4 linked regions of the Mus musculus genome follow. The protein of the gene in region 1 interacts with the protein of each later gene in a pairwise test. Links are inferred from orthologs where the notes say so. Each region holds a gene or a part of one and is shown in the gene's direction. Other genes may lie near its edges.

Region 1 (4,016 bases):
AGCAGTCAGTGCTCTTAACTGCCGGTTCATCTCTCCTTTTTCTTAGTCACTATTTCCATGACACCAGACTATACATCCTGGGCCCTTGGCTCTCCAGGATTTAGTTATTTTTTGTTTGTTTGTTTTGTTTTTGTTTTTCGAGACAAGGTTTCTCTGTGTAGCCCTGGCTGTCCTGGAACTCCCTCTGTAGACCAGGCTGGCCAGGATTTAGTTTTTACATGTGTTCATCCTCTGTGGGAAGCTTGCAGCTCATAGTAAAATGGTATGACCAGCCTAGTCCTAGTGATTGTACCAGCTGTCACTCCAGCTGATGGCCGTCACACATCCAGGGACGCGTGTTTGTCATGGCTCCTTCTAACCTCTGCACTGGGTTTCTCCATTCTGGAGAACTTGGGGTTTCTTCAGCTATCTGTGCTATTGACTTCCACTTCAGTTTTATGAGCAAAAGTTTCATGTTATTAACACTTTTAAGAAGCCACCACTGTGGAGGCCTTGTGACCTCCTTCCTGGAGTGACTGCAAAGCCATGGATGGACTCCCTTGCCGTCCTGGAAACCCAGCAAGCCACAATCCCTAGCAGTGTGGCCCCCCAAGGCCAAAGAGGACTCCTGACTGCTGCTTTTGGAAGTATTTTCAAGGCCACTGTCCCCATAGGAGCAAGCAGAGGGCCAGTAAGCTACAGAAGGGGCCAGCTGGGGCTCTGCATAAGTGTCCCACCCTTCCTTCCCATACAGCACTGGAAGCTTTTGCCTCAACTCATCTTGTAGGCTAGACAGCAGCGCCTGTCTAACAGCTACACTGGCTGGGCAGGGCTAGCAGGTCCCCACGCCCACCTCAGGCTGACTCTTGAAGGGCCACCCTGAAGGAGAGGCTGTGGCACGCAATCCATAGAGGACTATAGCTGCCTACAGCTTGTAGATTTTGACCAAGCTTTGTCCCACTGCACCTACCCTGCACCACTGTCCTTAGACGGCAGATGAGGATATGAGGCAGGGCCATGTTAGAAAAGCAACTTTCAGAAGCCTGGATCCAGGAGGACCTTGGACTGCCCATCCAGTTCAGATGAGCAGGCAGGGAGGGCTCCTCTGCTCCCAGAGTACTTCTACTTCCCTCTGTTCTGTTCCTGGATGGGCCAATCAGAAGGTAGACTGTCCCCTGCGGGAGGACTGGCTGGCTTGTGGCGTCAACCAGAACACATCAATCAGGAAGTGCACAGCCTCCTTCATGGCTCCACCCTTCTCCAGTTAGGGAACCCCTCCACACTCCCAGAGACCCAGGCTCCTGGTATGTCCATAACCCAGACAGCATCTGCTGGCAGGTAGCTCTCACAAGACCCTGAGGTAAGTTCAGTACCCTTCCAGGAAGGTGGGTGGAAGCCTGTGGTGACTGCTGGGGATCCTGGAGCGCGTAAGTACCTACAGGCAGGTGGCATCCTCCATCCTCACGCCTTCATTTGATTAATCCTTGTACACTGCAGCATAGTCCTCCAGTGCTGGACCATGTGGCTGTGGGGCTGCAATGGCAGGCCATAGGCCCAAGGTTTAGAGAAATGTCTGTCCACTGGGTCAACCAGAAAGCAGCAGGAAGCCAAGAGATGCCTCTGAAGAAGAGGCCTGCCATGGCCGTGTCTCTAACTGGAGGTGCAGCTCCGCTGGGGTTAGGGACTGAGCCAGGGGCGCTCTATGGCCACCTTAACTCAGCCCTAAAATCATTGAAGCCATTCACTGAGGCTACACTTGTCCACATGAGTAACCCCCTACATACAACTGGCCTGGTTGATTCCCATCATGTGGCCAAAGGCCAGGGCTCATCTAGCGGCAGAAAAGCAAACTGGAGGGAAGCCACAGCAGATGTCTGTAGACTGTGGATGACATTGCCTGCCCTTCCAGTATACTCCAGCCTAGCAGGAAGGCAGACATGCTCCTGCGGCCAACCCTCCCAGCCCTCCCGGAATAGCACCGTGCCACAGGCTGTTGCATCACCAGCTGGCTACAACGGAAGGCCTGAAGGGCACGGGGCTGTCAGGGAAGGAGGAAGTCAGACATAGGCCTGGCCCCCTGCACAGTGAGAAAGCCTCCAGCCAACCTGACCCTCTTAGTCCCAATCTGGAGACTGGCCAGCAAGGGTCCATGCCACCCAAGAAGGTACTATGTAGGATGGCCACTAGAGGCAAAAGCTCCTACCTCCAGGGCATGCCAGAGCACTTTTGGGTAGGGGCAGAAGCTAGAGCAGGGCTGTTGTACAAAGAGTATTCTCTTAGACCCCAACCGGTCACTTCCCTACATATCCATATGAGAAAGCCTGAGATGACAGGGGCCGGGCAGCTGCTTGGGGGTGCTCAGTTTGACAGGTGGTCTGAGGTGGCTTGTCTATGGACCTCTGCTTCCCCTCAGAAACTGTCCATGAGGCTGAGGAGATAGGGCTGAGCCCTGAAATTTCCCTAGAACGGATCCCTTCTGACCCTGCCCAAAGCCCTGCCCTGACACTCAGGCCTGGGTCCTATCCTAGGCTGACAGGGAACAGAAGGTGGGCACTTCCTCAGCTGCTCTCCCCAATTATAACCGCAGCCTACAGAGGACATGTCAGACTATGAGAATGACGACGAGTGCTGGAGCACCCTGGAGAGCTTCCGGGTGAAGCTCATCTCTGTCATTGACCCCTCCCGGATCACACCCTATCTACGCCAGTGCAAAGTCCTGAACCCCGATGATGAGGAGCAGGTGCTCAGTGACCCCAACCTGGTCATCCGCAAGCGGAAAGTGGGTGAGGACTGCTCCCACACCAGCAGGCTCTAGCCCTGCATGACCCCCATAAGACACCCAGCCAGAGGCCACTCCATGCTCTCTTCACTGCCCTGGCCTTGTCCCCACTCAGCTCCATCCCCGTGTAGGATATATGAGTGAGAGACTCCTCCCCTCTTGTCCTGTCTACCTGCTGTTGCCCAGTGGAGGAAGGGGAGTCCCCACCACTGTTCAGGCCCTGCCTGAGACAGCCACCAGAGGGAAGGCAGCACCCTGTCCCACCTAGACTTGAGACCTGCAGGGCGCCTTATTCAATGGCCCAGAAGGAAGGGGGTTGCTAGAGCTTGGGATGTCTACCCAGAGTAATCATCCTACCCATCTCCAAGAGCCTCCACCCGCCAGCCCTTGGCCTTGACTCTGTCTTCCACCTGAAGGTGTGCTCCTGGACATCCTGCAGCGGACAGGCCACAAGGGCTACGTGGCTTTCCTCGAGAGCCTGGAGCTCTACTACCCTCAGTTATACCGGAAAGTCACTGGCAAGGAGCCAGCACGCGTCTTCTCCATGATCATTGGTGAGAGGCACGGGTGTGGGTTGTTGCTGTGGGTGGACTCGGGTCCTGGCTTCTATGATGGCGTTGGAGTGACTAAGTGTGATAACAAGCCTTACGATGTAGATCAGGGTAGTGGTCCCTGATGATACTCACAGGCTCTAGGGGGCAGGGTCTTCCTGAATTGCTGAGCTCTTACTGGTCTCTAGAAGGGGAGCCCTTCTCTGCCTTTCCTACTCACAGCCTGGAAATTTCACTGAGAAGTAGTGACCCCTCTGAAGTGCCATTTCTGCAGGGCCCAGTTGTCAGCCAAGAGCAGAATCCTACAGTTCCCAGAGGGGACAGAGGTGTCCTCTCCTGATGGAAGAGCCACAACCCCATCAATTCTCATTCATCTCATAAAGAGCACTGTGAGATAAACAGGGCAGGGGCGATGGCACACACCTTTAGCCCTGGTAGTCTGGAGGCAGAGGCCAACAGATCTCTTGAGTGAGAGGCCAGACTGGACTACATAGCAAGACGTTGTCTCAAAAACCAGGGGCTAGGGGGAGAAGAGGGTCAACTGGAGTCTTCACCCAGGGCATGTGAGTGGCCCTGGGTGATGAGTCAGAATCTCAGTTCACCTGTGAGGGACAGCAAGGCCAACTGGGCCTACTGAGCACACTCAGTCTTGAGAGACCCATCCTACCAGTTTTCTCTGTGGGAGGCCAGGAATGCTCCCTCTGTCC
Region 2 (4,300 bases), on another chromosome or scaffold:
GGTCACAGCCAGAGCTCAACAGGAACCCAGAGCAGAGTACGTGGACGGACACTGCTTTTTATGGCTTGCTCAGCTTGTTTTCTTACACAACTCAGGACCACCTGCCCACAGTGGGTTTACCACACCGATCGTTAAACAAGAAAATGCTCCACTGACTCATCACAGGCTACTCTAAGGGAGGCAATCCCATAATTAAGGTTCCCCTCTTTCCAAGTGACTTTAGTTTCTGTCAAGCTGACAAACCCTAACCAGGGAAACACTGCTTTCTCTTGGATGGGCCAGCAGTCCTCACTAATGCAGGCACCCCCTTCCTTACTGAGTTTCCCACCAAAACTAGGAGGCTTAAAAAATGGAGAGACCATTGCCCATCCTTTAACTTGTCACCTACTGTTCTACTGAGGTAGCCGTCTTCATTCTTAGAAACAGCAGTTTTGCCTTAGTTAATTTTGAAACGTTTGCCTCAAATGGTGTAGAATGGTACTAGACCATTAAACCGCAGTGCACACACACACACACACACACACACACACACACACACACGCACACACACGCACACACACGCACACTCACACGCCAAATTATAAAGAGAACTTAGTTGCAGCTTTTACGGAGTTTGTATCTTAATTCAGCCTTTCATGGAGGTACTGAGTACTGGGGATTTGAAATCTGTGCGATAACCTTGCACTTCCAGTTGCCGTGTGACCTTGGCATTTGATTTTTAAGAGGCTCAATTTCCCCGTTTGTAATTGTTGCCTTCAAATGCAGCTTGTATTATCGAGTCTAACTTTAGGCATATACAACCATGAAATTTAATCTAGGGGAATGCTAATTTGACGCCCATGAGGTTTCTCCCACGTTTCTAACCCCCTTCAGTACCTGGCCTTATTCAATACATCTTTAACTGCTTGTTCACCTAGAAACTGGGACATGTTTTGCACTGCAGCTAACGTGTGTGTGTGTGTGTGTGTGTGTGTGTGTGTGTGTGTGTGTGTCCACGCGCGCTAGGAGGCGTCACAAAGAGCTTATGAAAGGTAGAAGTCCCTACAGACAGCAAGCATGGGAGAGCTGGGAAGAACCTAGGAAGGGCACTGCGCCCAAACCTTTGGTTTCAGAGCCCTCTTTGTGCCAATATTCAGTGGGCTTGGGCTCTGCGGCTGGAAAGGAAAAGCCCCAAGTCACGGAACTGCGCGCTTTCTGCCATGTCCCAGCCGGCCCCGCCCTCCAGTAGGAGTGAACCCGCAAAAACATGGGTTTGGAGGCGGCTGCGGCAAGAAAAGGGCCAGCATGGCAAGGAGAGTCCGAGCAGGGCAGGGCAAAGGCAGGGAGAGAAAGCGCGGCACCCGGTGAGAACCGTGCAAACTCAGAGGTCTGGGGCGGCGGCGGCGACCACGCCGTGCTGCGGGGCGTGCGGGGACCCGAGGGGGCAGCAGGGCGCAGGCGCGCACCCGCCGCGCTCCCCGCCGAGCCACGCCCCCAGACCCCCGCCCTCGCGCCCCATTTGGTACAGACCTGCCGGCGGGGCGGGGCCGGGGACGCCATTCCCACAATGCTCCGGGGCGTGCCGCCGCCGTCGCCGCCGCCTCCGCTACGGCTAGTGGAAGAAGATGGCGGAAGGCGGAGCGGCGGACCTGGACACCCAGCGTTCTGACATCGCGACGCTGCTCAAAACCTCGCTCCGGAAAGGGGACACCTGGTAGGGAACGGGGTCGCGGGGCCCGCGGGGGCCCGAGGCTGGCGGAGAGCTGGGCGGGAGCGGTGGGCTGGTGTCGCCGGCTGGTGACAGGTGCGGACAGGTCCGGCGGCGGCCGCTCAGGCAGCAGATTTTGGGGGCAAAGGTTGGACCGGCGCAGAGGGCCGGGGCTCGCGGTGGGCGGTGCGCGCCCGGGGCTGCGCGGAAGCGGCGGCCGGGGCTCGCGGGGCTCCGGGTCCTCCTCCCTCCGGCAGTGCCGCTCCCACTTGGGGCCTTGGCGGAGCCCGGGTGCAGTGGCTCGGCGTGAGCCTGCCTGCCGCTGGTTTTTTTTTTTTTTTTTTTTTTTTTTTTTTTTTTTTTGACAGATCCCGGTCGCGCCGCTCCTCCTCGCTCGCCCGCCGCGCTTCTCTGGTCACTCCTTCCCCGGCGTCGTCCGCACCCAAGTTCCCCATTATTCCGATCCTTGTAGTCTTCCGGGAGCCGGGCTTCAGGATGTTTGCGGCGGGGACCACACAGGTGGTGTGTGTCAGGGCTCCGCTGAAAAGGAAACCCCTAATTTCCACTTCCTTGTCAAAAAGGAGGGAGCGGTGTAGGGACCTTGTTTTTTTAATTTTTTTTTCTTGAGAGAGAGAGAGAGAGAGAGAGAGAGAGAGAGAGAGAGAGAGAGAGAGAGAGAGGCACCACGTGGTCCTGTGCTTTGCTCCTGGCTCGATAGGAGCCGGCAGCGCTTCTGTTTGGAAGTGCAGCCCTTCCCTCCGGTTTGAAGGATAACGTAGGCCTGCAGAAAGTAGATAAGTCCACTTGAAGCTTAAAGGCTTGCTCATATTCAAACTTGTAAAATGCCAAAATAAGAGGGTACTGTACCTAAATAACTAGAGGAAGCATGTACAAAATTTAACACTCGTCAGCCAAAGCAGTTAACTTACAGAATTATTTAAATAAAGGGAAAGTTCTGTTTTAGGGGAAGGGCAGTGTGCCTGTGTGTTCTTTCGTTCTTTCTTTCTTTCTTTCTTTCTTCCTAAGTTACTTTTCCTTCCTTCTGTCTCCGTACTAGTGGTTTATAGCGTCTCAAGTGCCTGTTAGGTACTCCAGTGTGGCTAGTGGAAAGAGACTTAAGACCTGATTTATTCACAGTTCTCAAGTGCTTGTTAGGCACTCCAGTGTGGCGCGGTGGAAAGAGACTTAGACCTGATTTATTCACAGGTCCACCTCATACTTTGCAGTGTGACTTGGAAGCAAATTCATCCAAGCCATTGAGCCTCCGCATCTCCATCTGTTCAAAGAGCAATAACGATGTTATTGTGTTTGCTCTATATTAATTCAGCTAAATATTCTGAACTATCTGGTATTCATGAAATACTAAGTTTTAGTGATCTTTTTTATTTCTGCCATTAATTCCAGACAAGTGCTGTGGGGTTGGAATCATTTTCGAGTTAGCTAATAGGCGACAGCTGGGGGACCTGAATTGAAGTTCTTGGATCCTTAGTTTGTAAGACGGCAAACACTTTGTGTAATTAAGAACCTTGATGATGGAAAACACACTTGTTGCATTACAGCCTTGCAGAGGCTTAAGTCATTATTGCTTATAGTCTGCTTTTGTTTTTCTTACGGAGTTTATTGCTGAGAAGAAATCGGGCATTCCCTAGAACACCTATGCTCCCCTTGGCCTGTGCGATCTTAACAGATAAATTCAAGCTTCTTCTCTCTGGTATATTGAAGAACATTTTTTAAAAACCAATTCACTCATTTATTGTATCATACAAATATAAATATGACTACCGATAAAATAGAAATATTTTTTAGAATGTGGATAGTTTTCTCACTAATGTTTTTCTGTTGAGTAATATCACGTATAATTGGTGTTCATGGTAATATATGATTTAAGAAATACCTGTATTGTGGATATTAAACTACTTTTAAAGTTGGTTATTTTTAAGCGAGTATATTTTTCTTGACAGTTACCGTAAACCACGTCAAAATGTACAAGTTAAGTCTATACTTGGGTTGTTACAATGCCTTAATTTCAAGAAAGAACTTAAGTCCAGTTTTTAGGCAGCAGCTAAATATGCAAGTTTTACCTCCTTGTTAATTTTCTATTTTGTGTAAATCAGTGGTTCTCAACATTCCTAATGATGCTGCCTTTTAATACAGTTCTTCATGCTGATTCTGCTACTAAGAAAAAAAGAGATAGGCTTACCATAATCTGGAAATCTTCGTACAGAGTTTTGAAATTATAGTGAGGTGCGTTAAATTTCACCACATTAGCTCCTGAGCACTTTGCAAACTAACTCAACTACCTAGGCAGATATTTGTATTTGATTTGGGTCTTCATGAATACCCATCTCTGTTTATTTGTTTATGGGTGGTGATTTGAGTACACAAGTTGTGCTGAGATAAAGAGAGCATTCTGTACGACTGGCACTGGACGTGCAGTAAGAAGTAGGTAAACAGTGGTACAAGAGTTCTCCCTATGACAGGTGAGCTAGCAAGGTGACACTCATTGACAAGGAATAAATCGGTAGTCTCACAATGCTAGTTGTTTGTCTGTTTCCGTTCTGACAAGACAGTGAGGAAACCATAAGCAAAGTTAAATTAGAATTTAGAAAATTT
Region 3 (4,230 bases), on another chromosome or scaffold:
CATGAGTATTGCTTCTCAACAACAACAACAACAACAACAACAACAACAACAACAAAAGAAATTTCAAAGCTCTCCCTACGGAGAAGCAAGGTTTTCGAAAATCATCAGTGCGTTTAGCCTTCAATATTTCATGGCAAGTCTTTTTGAGTGCCTTTGGTAATGCGTGGGCAGGTATATTAGCCCTTCCTATCAACTCTGAATTGGCTGGTTATCCTTGCTTCAGATGCACAAACTGGAGTGCTGCCTCACAAACATAATGAATCAAATAAAGGGGTTGTAACCATTCAAGTTTGTCATCTTAAATTTGCTGAGTTGATATGGGCAAAAGGAGATAGAAATGGCTTATTTCAACTTTCCTGTTTCTATCCTAGTGGGCGAATCAAATGAAGCACAGATGGGGCTAGTCTTTTGATACAGAGACTTAATTATGCAAGATGCAATAAATACAACAGAGGTCACTGTTTTTTCTTTATGAGAGATAACCACACAACCAAGGCATCTTTCTTCTGGGTGATGAGGACTCTTCCTGCACCCAGGCTTGTGCAACACCAAGTCTTGACCTCCAAATAATTAAGAATTATTTATTTATTTATTTATTTATTTATTTAATGAGTGTTATGTCATCATGTAGTTGCAATGCCTGTGGAGGCCAGAAGAGGGAGATCTCCTGGAAATGGAGCTAGAGATGGTTTTGATGATCCCTGTGAGTTCCTGGATGTGGCCTTAGGTCCTTTGCAAGAACAGTTAGCACCTAAATCACTGACCCATCTCTCTACCCCAGTTTTAAATATATTTCAAGACACCCATCAAAGAAAAATACTGAACTTTTTTTTTTAATTACTTATTTTACTTATATGAGTACATTGTCACTGTTTTCAGACACACCAGAAGAGGGCGTTCAATCCCATTACAGAGGGTTGTGAGCCACCACGTGGTTCCTGGGAATTGAACTCAGGACATCTGGAAGAGCAGTCAGTGCTCTTAACCACTGAGTCATCTCTCCAGCCCCTATACTGATTCTTAAGAGCAATTTTTGTTTTTCCCTTTTCCCCCCACGTTCTGACTTTCTGATCAGGTTCCCTTCAGGTTGATGCACAGTCACAGGAAGTCAGGCAAGAAGGGGGAAGTAAGTAACTTCTAGCTTACTGGAGTGTTTTAAGAGTCCTATTGAGAAATGAGTTAATATATCGCAGGGCTCATAATAACGCATGTTTATATTAACTCAGCGCTTAGCGAACCTAGTACATCTGAAAGATCAACTCTCCAGCAGGCTACAAGTTTCCGCTGAACCTTTCACAGGCGAAACATTCGGAACTGCGCCTGCTCTGTTGGCATAGTAACGCCCCTTCCCTACTATTTTGAAATGCAGATTCGGTTTCTAAATTACGACAGTCGTAAACCGAGGTTTCCCGACGGCGTCCTTGCTTTTCGACGGCAACAACTATGGAGGCGTTTAGTGTAAGATTTGAAAGTGCTAGCAGTATCGAAGAGCGAAAAGAACAGACCCGTAATGCCAGGGCCGAGGTGTTACGCCAGGTATCCCGGCTTTGGAGAATTTTCTTTCTTCCTTTTTAAAACTGGGGTTGTACTAAGGGCTTCTGCATGCTAGGTAATCGCTTTCCGAGATTTAGTTCTTGAAATACTTTCGTTTTATAAATCTTACGGTTTCGGAATGTTATTTAAAAGTTGTAGGACTTGAGAATCCTGGGAGATAGTCCACTCACTTCTCTCGTTACTTCGGTATCTCACCTTGTCTGATTTTGGTCTTTTTCCAATGCAGTTGTCTTCTAAACGCTCGGACCGGCTCCATTTGCTATTTCTCTCCGCAAAAAGATTGATTGGTTTCCTTCCAGTTTCCTTAGTTTTTAAGCACTCTTGATATTTCAGCCGCCTGGATTGCTCAGTTTCTGTGTCCAGTGTCACATCCGAGGACTCTTCTTACCAGTTAATTCGAAGCATGAGTCATTGCCCCGGCTTATTGGAAGTAGGACACATTTGAATACGTTGGTGTTTCCTCCACGTTTTCCTTTCAACTCCAGGCTTAGGCCAGCCTTTACTGATTGAAACACTGTTTTAGCATAAGAGACTCAGAATATGTGCTCCCCGACCCCAGGTTTTGGAAACAGAATTCTCATTAACATTGAAATGTATGGAGTTTATAAAAACGGAAGAAGTAAATTATTGAACAGTTATTGACAGTTATTCCTGATTAATTGTGACAGTGAAAAAGATGAATTTGTAGTTGAACAACGGAATGTTCCGTGACTATGTTTTGGGTTTTTTGTTTTATGATAAAAGAATTTTAAATAAGTTTAAATGCATATAGAGAGTAGAAAATAAATAGGAAGAATGAGTAATGCCTTCCTTCAGTCACATTTTAAGGGGATGGGTGGGCAGTTAGTCTTGGTCAGATAAAGCATCATGAATATTGGCTGATTTCAAAATAGATATAATGAATAATCATAATGACTGTCTGTTTGATATTTCAAACAGTTTTTGGAAGAAACTCTTTGTCAGCTGTGAAGAATTTTAGACAAATCTACATACAGTTTGATAAGGACCAAAGTCAGCTTAGGAATTTTGACAGATGGATGAGAAAGCAGAAGAAACTTCTTGCATTGTATTACTATTGTTGACTGCTGACTAGAAATTAGCCATATGGTTCTTTCTTTTTAAGAGGATAACTTTTCTGAGTCAATTGTATTGGCACTGTCTATTTTGAAGGCATGGAAAAAGGTCAGATTTATAACTTTTGGGAAAGTCTAAAGAACTAGCCACAGTGACAATGAAGGTTAAAGTGATTCCAAATCCTATTTGAGACAGAGAGAAAAGAGGATATATGTTAGTCTTGTACTGAATACTGTGTGTGATTTGTACCCAAATTTAGTGAAGATTGGTAGTCCCAAAGGAAAGCTATTAATAACTTCCTTTTATTAATCATTTTGTTTATCTTTCAAATGTTATTCCCCTTCCCAGTCTCCTCTTCACAAATCCTTCCACCCTTCCTCCTCCCTTTTGCCTCTAAGAGGGTACTTCCCCTTCCACCACCCACTCCTGTCTCAGTCCTCTAGCATCCACTTTCTCTAGGGTATCAAGCCTCCACAGCACCAAGCACCTCCCCTCCCATTGATGCCAGATGAGGCAATAATCCTCTGCTACATATGTAGGGGGAGCCATGGACTCTTTGGTTGGTAGTTTAGTTCCTGGGAACTCTGGTTAAATTGATACTGTTATTCTTTCTATGGGGTTGCAATCCTCTTCAGCTCCTTTACCCCTAACTCTTCCATTAGGATCCCCAGGCTCAGTTCAATGGTTAGCTGTGAGTATCTGCATCTCTCTTAGTCAGGTGCTGGCAAAGCCCCTCAGAGCTATACCAGGCTCCTGTCTGCAAACACATCTTGGCTTCAGCAATAGTAAGGGGGGTGGGGAGTGTGTTGGTGTCTGTGGATGGAATGGATCCCACAGTGGGGAGGTCTCTGGATGGCCTTTTCTTCAGCCTCTGCTCCATTTTTGTCCTGGCATTTCCTTTAGATAGGGACAATTATGAGTTAAATTTTTTTAGATGGGGTAGGGGTTGGCCCCATCCCTCCCATGGGGGCCATGTCTATCTACTGGAGATGATCTCTTCAGGTTCTATCTTCCTACTGTTGGCTATTTTGGCAAATGTCATCCCCATTGGGTCCTGGGAGTCTCTCGAATTCCTGGTGTTGAGGACTTTCTAGTACTTCCCCAAGTTCCCCACCCCCACTGGTACTTATTTCTATTCCTTCTCCTGGGCCTATGGACTTCTCTCCTATCTCCTGTCTCTTCCAATACCTGGTACTGCCTCCGCTGGCCCCTCCTTTCCTTCCCCGCCCCTTTCCCACCCAGAACCCTCCTTTCCTCTGCCTCCCGTGATTATTTTGTTCCTCCTTCTAAGTGGGTTTGATGCATACACGCTATGCCCTTCCTTCTTGTTAAGCTTAATATGATCTGTGGGTTGTATCATGGGTATTCTGAGTATTTCAGTTAGTATCCACTTACCAATGAGTACATACCATGTATGTTCTTTTGGGTCTGGTTACCTCACTCAGGATTATATTTTCTAGTTCCATCCATTTGCCTACAAAGTTCGTAGTTGTCATTTTAATAGCTGGGCAGTATTCCATTGTGTTAATGTACCTTATTTTCTGTATCTATTCTTCCGTTGAGGGACATCTGGGTTGTTTCCAGCTTCTGGCTATTATAAAT
Region 4 (3,976 bases), on another chromosome or scaffold:
TACAGCTAAAGAGGTAGGTGGCAAACAGCTGCCACGTCCCAGGCTGCTGAGCAAGGCCCGAGGTATGCAGGGTGGTATTCTAGAAGGCTATCCTGGGACAAACTGAAAGACAGACAACAGAGAGCAAGCTAGAGATGCTACTAGTGCCAACAAAAGGTAAGTATGTGTAGCTCTGTATACAGAGGCAGTGTGGGCAAGAAAGCCACTGTTGACAGAAGCAACTTCTCTGCTGAAGTTTCAGGGAAGTAGAAGCCAGGTAGCACTAGAGAGCCACGGGAGGACTATCATGAATGTGAACAGGGGCCTGATCCTACAAGACATTCAGCCATGGCTCCTTCTGACATAGCTGGGCCCTCCCTACACCAGGGGGTAGCAGAATCCCTGGGCTTTCTTTTGGGGGGGGTGCCTAAAGCTTAAGGAATGGCTCACTGAGTGAGCTGCTGGGCCTGGCTCTGATAGGTGAAAGGAACCCTCAGTGGACCAGAGCAGATAGCTGGGCTACATATAGCCCTAAGTAGGACCTGACCAGGAAACCCTAAGTCTAAGAAAAATCTTTCCTACAGGTCTGAGTTAGACCAGGGAAGTTAAGGACATCCCCTAATCCCCACCACCGAGCTCCTGGGACACAGTTGGGCTGCCTAGCAGCCACTGGCCACTAGAGGGCAGACTTACCCCATGCCAAATTGAGCAGGCCTGTGAGGGGCCTACGGTTTCCCGAAATCCCTGTCTAGTTCCACTCATAGCTGGAGGAGTCTAGCTGGTGGCCTCAGGCCAGAGTGGCTATTGGACTTCCCTGGATTCAGAGATCCTCCACCCTAATATTCCTTTCCCTGGTGTTACTTCATATAGCGTCATTCCCTTCTCTTGCAGCCAGCAGAATACCAGAGAGCAGAGAAAAGAAACTAAGGCCCAGATAGGAATGAAAACTTGCCTAGGTCCCAGGATATATCCTTGTCAAATTTTAAGGGGAGTCTGTTCCCTAGGCATCTCTTCAGGTGGTCCCCATCTTCAGGACAAGTGTTTTCAATAGCAGAGACACCAGGGAGAGATGTTAGGCCACTGCTCCTGTCCCCGCAGCTCAGGTCTGTCTTCATCTTGCCCCACATCCCCATTGGCTCACATGCATGGACCTGGAATTCTAGGCGCATAACAGCATTTGTGTTCTGGATGGAACCTGCTTTAGGACTGTTCCACTCAGCCTGCCCCTGCACCTAGTCCCCCATTCCTGGCCCCAGACCATGCCCTAGGTAGGTGGCAGGCCACTCAGCCTGCCAGAGAGGTCACAGAGGGGGATGAGGGAGAAAGGCCGGCCCTCTCTTCCACCCAGCTCATCATCCACTGGCTGGGTGAGTGTGGCCAAGCCAGTGGCCTCCTGGGTGCCCATCTCTTTTTCTGGTTTTGGCAGTGCCTGCCAGAGGGAAAAGGCATTCTACCCAGTCTGTACCTACTCGAGTTACTCTTTGAGGGGACCAGGGGTAGTTGACCAAGGTAGGTTCCCCTTCCCTCTAAGGTACCAGGCTCAGGTTCTGGTGCCTCTGACACCTCAGCTCTGCAAGGGCCCAGATGGACTAAGCCAGATGACTCCAGACATAACCCACTCCTTCCGGGTGAGGCCTGTACAGGTGTACTGGCCTGAACCACAAGGGTAAGGAGGAAAAAAGCCCGGGGCCTGTAAGTGGATGTGTAGCTCATCCCTGACAGCTCCCTAGAGGAGACACATCAGTTGGTGACCACCCTCTGGCAACTGGAAGGCTTGGGGAATGAACTGAAGGCACACACTGGATATCAAGCTCAGGGTAGTCTTTAGCCATTTGTCATTTGTCATTGGTGTCAGTGTGAAACATGGAACACAGCACAAGGGATACAGCCTGCTTATGAGCGACACCAGCTCACTTGGTGTGAACAAGCTGACTAATGCCCACTTGTGGCTGGACTGTAACCCTGGACAGTGCTTTGACCTCCTCTAGCATCAGCCTTAGAAACAGCCAGGGTGGGAGCTACAGATGAGCTGCCTGGCTTTGGAGGGACATCCTAGGTCCTCTCCAAGAGCCTCCGCCAGCTGGGGTTTCCAGTGACTAAAGGGGTACGGTCTGCACAGATTAGCCCTACAGAGATTCCCCACGGTCCCTAAGACCAACATTTCTAACATCCGTTGCCTCAGGAAAGGTACGCTTAGCGCCATGGAATTGACAAGAGAGTTCTAGTTCTCCTTGTTCCCAGGGAAAAGGTTCTAGGTTCCAGGCCAGCTGAGCCGGGTAATAGCCTCATTCAGCATAGCTGAGGCTGGCCCCCACAGCATCCCACTGGCTCCTGGTACTGCAACACAGGTCTCCCTGTCCACTGGACCCACGCTTGGGGAGCCTGTTCCAGCTACTGTCCTGTTTACTCTGTTCCCAGAATGGACTCGCTACAGAAGCAGGAACTTCGGAGGCCAAAGATTCATGGGGCAGTCCAGGTGTCCCCCTACCAGCCACCCACACTGGCCTCTCTGCAGCGATTGCTGTGGGTCCGTCGGACTGCCACACTGACCCACATCAATGAGGTCTGGCCCAACCTTTTCTTGGGAGATGCGTAAGTAAGACCCATGTAGGGGTTTAGGGTGGCTGATGGGTGGGAGTACCAGGATAAGCCTCCTCCAGATGGCCCACAGTGCTTCTCACCGCTGCCTGCATTTGCCTTTCTCATGTTTGTTTGGAAACATACAGTTTCATCTTTCAGGCCATGGAATAGAGAATTCCTTGTATCCTAGAAGTGACCTGTTTTAGTGGATAAACCACACTTCAAGAGACAAAGCTCTCTCTCTTCTCTTCTTTTCTTTTGTACCCCTGGTTGGCTCGAATTCCCTATGTAGCTGAGGATACCTTGAGTTTCTGATCCTCCAGCCTTCACCTCCAAAGAGCTGGTTTTACAAGTGTGCATTGCCACCATGCCTGTTTTATGCTGGTGATCACACCCAGGGCTTTGCACGTACTAGGCAGGCGCTCTGCAAATTGAGCTGTGAACCTAGCCTACCTGAAACCATCATCGTCCTCATTGACTCAGTCCCACTGGATGTCCTGGAACTCACTAGGTAGAATAGGCTGGCCTCAAACTCATAAAGATCCTCCTGCTTCTGCCTTCTAAGTGTATGCTACCATGCATCTCTCATTTCTATTGGTGTATATTCATTGTATATTGGGATGGGTTTAGCAGATTTTTCAAGCTTTACTGTGTATTTGATCTTATTCACCTCCCTATTCTCTCCCCCATTTTCTTTCTTTCTTTTTTTTTTAAGATTTATTTGTTTATTATATGTAAGTACACTGTAGCTGTCTTCAGACACCTCAGAAGAGGGCATCAGATCTCATTACAGATGGTTGTGAGCCACCATGTGGTTGCTGGGCTTTGAACTCAGGACCTTTGGAAGAGCAGTCAGTGCTCTTAAATGCTGAGCCATCTCTCCAGCGCCCCCCCCCCCAATTTCTTTTAAATTTGAGACTGGGTCTCACTGCAGCTAACTTGTAATTGTCTAGGAAGACTAGGTTAGCCTTGACCTTACAGAGACCCACCTTCCTCTGCCTGCAGAGCTAGAATTCAAGTCGTGTACTGCTGTGCCCACCCCCACCCCCCCACATGCCCTCCTTTTTTCTCTTTCTCACTCACTAGTTTGGTTCCTTCCACCAGATAATCTTGCTTCAGCTTTAGTGTCATATGTATGTAGTACATATGTGATTTTATGTAGCTATATAGCTATATAAAACCTAGGAGCTACTCAGATTAGCAAATGCATGCTATGTTCTGGGTCTGTGCTATTTCATTTGATATGACCACCATTTGCACCCAATTCAAAAGCAGCATTTATTTTTCTTTCTAGTTTTGCCTTAAATACTTCAGATATGCCTTTTGCCAGCCTTCTAAAGTTAGAGCAAAAAATATTTAAAATTTACCTTGTGGTTAAGGCAATGGCTCAGCAGTTAAGAGCACTGACTGCTCTCGC

The links. The genes of interacting proteins can lie anywhere in the genome.
Region 2: the proteins of Card9 (region 1) and Usp15 interact in binary tests that used the Homo sapiens proteins (3 or more experiments, as listed by UniProt). The two-hybrid records come from large-scale screens. The link is inferred for Mus musculus from reciprocal best matches to the Homo sapiens genes CARD9 and USP15.
Region 3: the proteins of Card9 (region 1) and Cwf19l2 interact in binary tests that used the Homo sapiens proteins (3 or more experiments, as listed by UniProt). The two-hybrid records come from large-scale screens. The link is inferred for Mus musculus from reciprocal best matches to the Homo sapiens genes CARD9 and CWF19L2.
Region 4: the proteins of Card9 (region 1) and Dusp13 interact in binary tests that used the Homo sapiens proteins (3 or more experiments, as listed by UniProt). The two-hybrid records come from large-scale screens. The link is inferred for Mus musculus from reciprocal best matches to the Homo sapiens genes CARD9 and DUSP13B.

What each region holds. Positions count from the first base shown.
Region 1 is NC_000068.7:26,358,110-26,362,125, reverse strand, and holds the start of Card9 (caspase recruitment domain-containing protein 9), read left to right. Parts: upstream 1-1,216; 5' UTR 1,217-1,339; intron 1,340-2,566; 5' UTR 2,567-2,578; coding exon 2,579-2,762; intron 2,763-3,174; coding exon 3,175-3,312; intron 3,313-4,016. UniProt on the Homo sapiens protein: Adapter protein that plays a key role in innate immune response against fungi by forming signaling complexes downstream of C-type lectin receptors.
Region 2 is NC_000076.6:123,194,220-123,198,519, reverse strand, and holds the start of Usp15 (ubiquitin carboxyl-terminal hydrolase 15), read left to right. Parts: upstream 1-1,500; 5' UTR 1,501-1,604; coding exon 1,605-1,693; exon of another isoform or gene 1,694-4,300. UniProt on the Homo sapiens protein: Hydrolase that removes conjugated ubiquitin from target proteins and regulates various pathways such as the TGF-beta receptor signaling, NF-kappa-B and RNF41/NRDP1-PRKN pathways.
Region 3 is NC_000075.6:3,402,655-3,406,884, forward strand, and holds the start of Cwf19l2 (CWF19-like protein 2), read left to right. Parts: upstream 1-1,430; 5' UTR 1,431-1,443; coding exon 1,444-1,536; intron 1,537-4,230.
Region 4 is NC_000080.6:21,738,699-21,742,674, reverse strand, and holds the start of Dusp13 (dual specificity protein phosphatase 13), read left to right. Parts: upstream 1-1,176; 5' UTR 1,177-1,292; coding exon 1,293-1,645; intron 1,646-2,232; exon of another isoform or gene 2,233-2,397; coding exon 2,398-2,571; intron 2,572-3,976. UniProt on the Homo sapiens protein: Dual specificity phosphatase that dephosphorylates MAPK8/JNK and MAPK14/p38, but not MAPK1/ERK2, in vitro. Exhibits intrinsic phosphatase activity towards both phospho-seryl/threonyl and -tyrosyl residues, with similar specific activities in vitro.